Linked DNA regions of Coturnix japonica. The protein of the gene in region 2 interacts with the protein of the main gene of each other region in a pairwise test. Links are inferred from orthologs where the notes say so. Each region holds a gene or a part of one and is shown on either strand. Other genes may lie near its edges. The genes, in order: PSMD9 and PSMC3.

Evidence for each region.
Region 1: the proteins of PSMC3 (region 2) and PSMD9 interact in binary tests that used the Homo sapiens proteins (3 or more experiments, as listed by UniProt). The link is inferred for Coturnix japonica from reciprocal best matches to the Homo sapiens genes PSMC3 and PSMD9.

What each region holds. Positions count from the first base shown.
Region 1 is NC_029530.1:4,891,421-4,895,949, reverse strand, and holds PSMD9 (26S proteasome non-ATPase regulatory subunit 9), read right to left. Parts: upstream 3,030-4,529; 5' UTR 3,028-3,029; coding exon 2,875-3,027; intron 2,801-2,874; coding exon 2,698-2,800; intron 2,404-2,697; coding exon 2,216-2,403; intron 1,658-2,215; coding exon 1,556-1,657; intron 1,408-1,555; coding exon 1,319-1,407; intron 991-1,318; coding exon 963-990; coding exon of another isoform or gene 904-962; 3' UTR 313-903; downstream 1-312. Other genes in the region: HPD (4-hydroxyphenylpyruvate dioxygenase), read left to right, coding at 3,288-3,290, 3,394-3,420, 3,895-3,957, 4,238-4,342, 4,435-4,477. UniProt on the Homo sapiens protein: Acts as a chaperone during the assembly of the 26S proteasome, specifically of the base subcomplex of the PA700/19S regulatory complex (RC).
Region 2 is NC_029520.1:20,410,909-20,414,045, reverse strand, and holds part of PSMC3 (26S proteasome regulatory subunit 6A), read right to left. Parts: intron 2,983-3,137; coding exon 2,857-2,982; intron 1,598-2,856; coding exon 1,493-1,597; intron 869-1,492; coding exon 806-868; intron 380-805; coding exon 242-379; intron 139-241; coding exon 1-138.

The DNA.
Region 1 (4,529 bases), on a different chromosome or scaffold from region 2:
GGAAGAACATCCCATGAGCTGTTCTTCTGGACCAGCACACAGACCCAGATCCACCTGCAGCTCAGGCAATACTGCACACATGGGGTAGGCAGACATACCCTGAGCACACATGGCCAAGGCCCAGCTCCAGCTGGTCTCACACTAGAGCTGCAGTACAACATTCATCCACATGCTTACAACTACAACCTGCTTTGCTTCACCAGACCAATTTCTGGCTGTGGAAGGTCAGGGAAGAATGATTTCATGTCTCTGCAGATCTACTTTTAACCTACCTGCAATTACAGCCCCCAAACAGCAACTTCCACAAGAAGGGAGAGAGACACCACTCAGCTTTATTCATCGGGATGAATACTTCAAAGTTCAACTGGAAACAACCTTACAAACAGGAACAATCCCCCCAATTAACAATTAACATAATAAAATAATTAGGTACTCCAAAATTGCTCTCTTATTTGGTGATTTCCAGCAGCTATGAACACATGAGAGTTAAAGTAACAGATCTGTGTGTTTCTTGAGTGTGTTCTACTAAGTTAAAGAAGGAAAAATTGTTCCAGGTCTTTGTATCCTGCTTTACAGGATGTTCAAATGAGGAATTTCAAGGAAAAAATGAAGGAATGCCACGTTGTCACCAAGTAAAAGCACTTTATGTTCTTCCCAATCTGTATCAAGTGAAATCCAAGTTACACTGCAGCCTTACTCCAAACTGACGCAAGGCACAAAGAGATGAGAAGCCACTTCCTGCAACTCTGTGAGTTGCTCCTCACAAACCAGCGCAATTCCAACTGCATTAAGGTCCTGCTCCATCAGAACCTCTTCAGACCCTGCAAGCTCAGCCACCCAGAGGTCACAGCCCCTGAAACACCCATTTCAGCAAAAACAAAGGTCACAGGGCAAGCTTTCAAATCAAATCAGAGTCCAGAAAGCAGGCACAAGCTTCATCTTTATTGTCTTCCCAGCAGTGGTCATCTTTGCAATGGAGTGATATTGCAGCTGAAAAAGAAGAGTGGGGAAGAAAACATTTAAATCTATGTTCCGAAAGAAGCTTAGATGATCCAACACAGCACAAATCAGATCAACCACAACCCTCCTCCATTGGTTTCCTCTACTATAGGAAGGAGCCACTGAGATCTTCAGCCCCATACCCATGACTGATACAACTCATCACCCCGTATAGTACCAAATTGACAACCCCAGCTCTCAGCTGGACTCTGCCTGTGAGACACATCAGAGCAGCACAGAGCGAAGCAGAGCTGGTTCCTCCTGCAGGAGACGTGCCCTGAGCTGATAAGAGCCCCCTCCACTCCGACTGGCAGCCTACCCCAGCAGGCCCTTCCCAGCCCAGCGCTTCGGAGTCAGCCCCAGGTGCACTTGCTTGCCATTGCGGATCACAGTCACACTCAGAGGTCTCTGGGAGAAGCAAAAAAAGAAGATGAGCTCTCTCATTTCCATTATGAAGAGCCCAATGGCTGTGGTAGCTTCTCTGGCCGTTCCACAGCAAATGCTGTAACTCATTGGGAGAGATAAGAGAACGCAGTTACAGCAGAACCAAACTTACCCCTTCACTATGCTGTACTACTGTGGCGATGTTCTGCAGGCTCTTGAAGTTGTTTGCATTGACAGAACCAAACTCCACAATCTCATCATCAACCTGCAGACCCTGGGCAGACAGAAAGAAGCTGAACGTCTGTGTTCTGTGATGACAGGTAACACTGCCTGCTCACAGGAGCTTTCATCCAGCCGCACAAGCTGTGCTAGGACACCACCCTTCTCACCATTCAGACAACTGAACATCATACCATGCCCTTAGAAACAAGGGCACACTCATTTTTCTGCTCTGTTTTATGAGAAAACAATGAGGCTGCAATGAACAGATAAGCCTTGTAAGAGCTGCGTGGTGCTACGATGCAGCAGACAACATGCAATTTCTGATCCCAACACAGGGACAAACCAGCTCACAGGGACAAACCAGTGACACGGCCACAAACGGGCAGCTCCCTCCATGGGAACATTCAAGAATAACTGCACTGGTTGAGAAGGTGAATGAATATTTGACAAACACAGAATGAAGAAAGTGTGAGTGGGATAATAACAATAATCAGTATCTCACAGCTTATACCTGCCTGTTAGCAGAGGAAAATAAGCAACACATCCCCTATTTCCCCTTCTTAAGCACAAAAGAAGCCATCCCCATCCACTGGCAGCCCCAGCAACGTACCGCGATGCTGGCGGGTGACTCTGGTGTCACCACGTTGACTTTGGCAAAGGCAGTTGGCAGATTTTGGCTCATGGCCTCAGCTCGCGCCTCCGCCTCATCCCTGGCGTGTTTCTCCTTCTCGCGGGCGTGCAGCTGGTGCAGAGCCTCCTCCACCTGCTTCATCAGCGCCTTGTGGTCGTTCTGCAGACCTGCGGGTGGCACCCAGCTCAGTAAGAAGCAGAATCACAGCATCGCTATGGCTTAAAGGCCCAACACAGCCCACAACCCACCCCACGTCCCTCAGTACATCCCACAGCTCCTGAACGCCCCCAAACCTCCCTGAGCAGCCGCCCCCTCTCGTCCTATCGCTGTTACCCGGAGCAGAGGCCGACCCCACCCTCCGCACCATCCCTTAGGGGCTGCAGGCAGCGCTAAGTCCATCCCGAGCCCCTTTTCTCATCCTGAGGAGTCCCCCACGCCGCTCCCGTCCCGTCCCCACTCACACGCGATGTTGTGCCGGGCTGTTCGCACTTGGTACAGGTCGATGTCGGCCCTGGGGAATCCCTCGCTGTCCACCAGCGGCCCGTCCATGCCCACGCCCTTTTGCTGAGGGGAGAAAGGCCGCGGTGAGACCCTCGGCAGCGCCCCGAGCCCCGAGCCCGGCCCCGAGCCCCGCTCACATCGTCCAGCAGCTGGTAACACGCCCGGATCTGCGCCTCCAGCTCGTCCTTGCGCCGCACCAGCTGCTGCACCTCGCTCAGAGTCATGGAGCCGCAACCACCGCGATCCGACATGGCGGCGGCAGGAAGAGACGCAGCGGGGGGAGAGAACATGGGGCGGGGACAGAGAGCAAAGGGGGCGGGGGCAGAACGGGGGGCGGGGATGGGGGGGGGGTGTCCATGTGGGGGGTGATGGAGGTGATTGAGGTGATGCCCCCATGGCCGGGCAGTGCCCCCGGGGCGGGCAGTGTGGGAGGAGGAGCCGCTGTGCTCTATATCAGCCCCGCTGTGCTCTATATCAGCCCCGCTGTGCTCTATATCAATCAGCCCCGCTCAGGGTCGCGTTCTGTGCTGCTGTCACTGCGGGTCACATCATGGTGAGCGGGCACAGGACGGAGCGTTTATGGGGGACACGCTTCCCCCGGCCCCGCTGAGCGCTCAGTGCCCGCTCACTCACCGCCTGTCCCGCTTCTCTTGCAGACGACGTACACGGACAAAGGGGAAAAGGTGAGTGGTTCCCTGCTGGGGGACACCCCGTCCTGTGCCCCATGGCTGCCCCATGGCTGCCCTGCAGTGCTCTCAGTGTGGCGGTGGAGCAGCGCTGGGTGCTTTGCTGCCGGGTGAATCGTTAACGCTGCGGGTTAGTGAGGACAGGCTGCAGGTTTGGGTTGCAGCTGCCATCTCCTCCTCTGTGACCCAAACCCTAAACCCCAAACCCCAAACCTCCTACTGCGTGTTTCTATAGGACCAGATGCCCCTGGGCTCACTTCCAGGCTGACAACTGGGTGTTTTGCAGCCACTTTGCTCCATGTGACCGGAGCCAACGCTGTGTGCAGAACAGCCTGCATGCAAAACACTCCAAAACATCATCATGGCGGGGGGCCATGGTGACATCCATGTCACTGGGTGCACCTGCAGGAATTGCATTGGGAAGAGTTCCATCTGGAGGGACTGTACAACTTCTTTTCCCTTTCCCTTTAGCACCAGCGAGGCCGCTTCATCCACTTCCACTCCATCACCTTCTGGGTGGGCAATGCCAAGCAGGTAGGGGGCCGCAGGGCTGGCGGCGGTGGCCATTGGCTGCCAGGGGATGGTGGGGCCATGTATGTGTGTGTGTGTGCTGACAGCAGCCCTGGCCAGGGGCCACGGCCTTGGGCCCTTGCGCAAGGTGGGGGGTGGATGCAGGGGGTGCACACAGGGCAAAAATGCAAAGGAAAAGCAAAAACGCGTCACCGCACACAGAACGGGCTGTACGGCTGTGCTGGGAGCACACAATGGCCCCGCACACACCGCACAGCCATGCACACACCGTGCTGTGCTGCAGGCTGCCTCCTACTACTGCAACAAGCTGGGCTTCGAGGAGCTGGCGTACCGCGGGCTGGAGACCGGCAGCAGGGAGGTGGTGTCACACGTCATCAAGCAGGACAAGGTGTGCAGTGTGTTGGGATGCACTGAGCAGAGCTGGTGGGATCCTCCCTCCCATCACTAACTCTTCCTTCCTCCCATCCTCTTCCACCCCAGATCATTTTCGTCCTCTCGTCGCCGCTCAATCCAGGCAATGAGGGTAGGTCTGGGGCTGGGGCTATGGGCGCTGTGCAGTGTCCCCATACTGACGT
Region 2 (3,137 bases):
CTGGGCAGCACACGCTCGAGCTAGAAGCGTCTTCCCTGTTCCTGGAGGCCCATACATAAGGACTCCTTTGGGAGGCTGTATACCCAAGTTCTCAAATTTTTCCTTATGATTCATGGGCAGGACGATGGCCTCCACAAGCTACAGCAAAAGAAAAATGTTCACTCAAAACCAAACTTCACAAACCCAGGCTGCCCCGTTTAGGAAGTTCAAAGCCTGCTGTCCTCATTCACACTGGTATCACCTCTTGGATTTGTTTATCGAGCCCTCCAATGTCGCTGTACTGCTCTGTGGGTCTCTCATCCACTTCCATGGCTTTCACCCGTGAATCATATTCAGTAGGCAGAGTCTCCAAGATCAAGTAAGAGTCCTTGTTCACACCCTACAACACACGAGTTCTTTGCTTTTACCAGGCCCTTCAGATAGCAATCAAAGCACACATAATCAGAGGTGATCCACTAGACCTCCAGGATGCAGGTTTGACCAGCTCCAATACTAGCATTCATCAGATCACAACAGCTTGGCAAGGGGGACAACACAACAACTGGTCTGGCATATTTTAGAAGGAAGAGGCCCAATAAAACAGGTAGACAGCTAAATTCTGGGCACTTAACTGTCTGTAGAAATAGGCTCTCCAACATGACTTTTCTATACTACAAATATTATTGCAGCCAGTTATTCTAAATCCAAATTTTAGTACAAAAGCGATCTCAGCAAGACCTGAACCGATGGTGTCCCTTCTAAAGGAAAAGGCACGTGCAATTTTCTGGCCAACATCACAGCTAACAGTCACAACAACAACACTCACCACCAGATCTCCAGGCTTCAACTTCTCAGCATCAACCAACCCGATAACAGGCAGGAAGTATGTCTACAAGACAGGCATTACAGTAAGCAAAGCCATCTGTACTGGGACAAGGAACTTTACAGCACTCATAGAATCAAAGAACCTGTGAACCTGTGCTGGCTGTAACCAATGACTGCATTGTCTTTCAAGTATTCCTCAGTAATTTCCAGAATAAAATCCATGATTTTACCAGGCAGTGGCAGGCCTGTCAATACCAAGCCCTTCTTTGTCGCCCTTCCTGAGAATTAGGACAATACTTGGCAGCTTCTAGACAACTGGGACCTCTCCAGATTCCCAGCATCACTGAAAAAATACTCCTGAAGGTCTCACAATGACATCAGCCAGCTCTTTGAGTACCCTGGGATGAATCCCATTGGGCCCCATAGACTTATATGCATCCAGCTGGAGCAGCAAATCCCAAAGTTCAGAGCTGCCTGGGAGCTGACCGTTCCCTTTAGTCACTGTCCCCCACCTCAGGGCTCTGGAGGCCCCAGTGCCCATCATAAGTGTTAAAGACAGAGGCAAAGATGGCATTAAACATCTCTGCTTTATCTACATCCCTATTTGTGAGGTGACCAACCTCACCAAGTAACAGACCAGTGTAACTTCTGGCTGCTCCTCACACCTAACTGGACACGTGGCCCTTACCTGCCGTGTAGAGGTCTTGATGACAGCACACTTGCCCTTTCTCTGGGAATCCAGGTCAATATTCGCTCCATCCTCCTCCTGGTCATTGGGGTCAACATCCAATAGCTGAAAACCAGAGTAAAAAATCTTCCCTATAATGTAACCAGACTAATGGTTTCTAAGTTACATGGAGTATGCAAAATGGAAACAGGAATTTTTATTTGCAGTAGAATCTTGAAAGCACTGAAGTACCTTATAAATATTTATCATTTCCTTTCCTCACGCAGCAGCACAGAAAAAGACACTATACAGCCCAGAACAAAGCAGCAGCTAAAGGCACCGATTGCTTTTCTCCTTACAGCAACTTACATTAAGATCTAAAACACTGATACCAACCAATCCTTGTTTTCCAAAGTTGAGAACTGCCTATGCTTTAAAAAAATAAAATAAAATCAGATAAATAGATTGATTCACAAAAACGACACCGTGTTACATCTGCACTTTCAGAAGATTTGCAAAGTTATCTCAGCTGACCTCTTAAAACAACCAGTGCAGGCAGGGACAAGAAGATGCTGTGAATAAAATCACAGAATGATAAAGGTTGGAGAAGACAGTAAGACCACCAAGTCCAACCGTCAGCCCGTCCTTACCATGTCCAGGAACAACATCCACACACTTGTTGAAAACCACCATGGATGGAGGCAGCCCATCTGGGTGCCTCACCATTCCTTCTGATAAGAAATTCTTCCTAACATCTAACCTGAACCTCCCCCGGCACAACTTGAGGCCGTTACCTCTTATCCTAAAATACCAGTGCAGTTAAGGGACAGAAGCTGCAACATGGCTGGCAAGTCCCTGAGTGTGCAGGGACTGCCACCTGATGTGTATTAGTTATGAAGAAAACCACCTGAAAATTTGTTAATTCCAGTCCATTCTCTTCTTTCTTTCTTTCTGTATAACTCTTAAAAATCTTTTTGATTAGTGTTTCTTAACTCCTGCTGTTTTAACTGCAGAACTCATCTTCTTGCAAAGCTGGCAATAGAGTACAGATTTACAAGTAGCAGACCCACTGCTTTCAATCACCCTGCTATATTTCATTTACTCAGGTCTACACTAAGTGGGGCTGTGTCACCTCCACTAGCTGTGTTACGTACAGAAGCCCAGTAGCTAATACCTCCCCAAGAAATGACCCAGACGTGAAGCAGGCAAGTGATATACAATGCCAGGTCATAAATAAAACCAGCAGAAAAACCCAGAAGTGACTTGACTTCAGGATCAGAAATAGTCTGTCAAACACCGTGTCTCCAATTACCAATGGGCTTCCTATCACTTTTCCTCCCTGACACAAATGTACACTTCTCTCTTTGCTCCAGAAAAGCACTCACCTCAATAACATTTGAGACCAGGTACGGCAGAGTTTTGTTCACTTTGATCTTCTCGCTGTTCTCTTTGATCTTATCTTTCATGGCCTGAAGCTCGTGGGTCACTCTCAGCACTTCGCTCTTCATGATCTGGAATCAGTATGCAGAAGAAAGAGGTAGAAATCACAACAGCATGGAAACATACAATGTATGTTATTCTGGGAGTACAATAATTGTAAAAATGTAAGGCAGGGGAGACAATGGAGCTAAAGAGTAATATAAAAATAGAAACAGTCATCAAATTA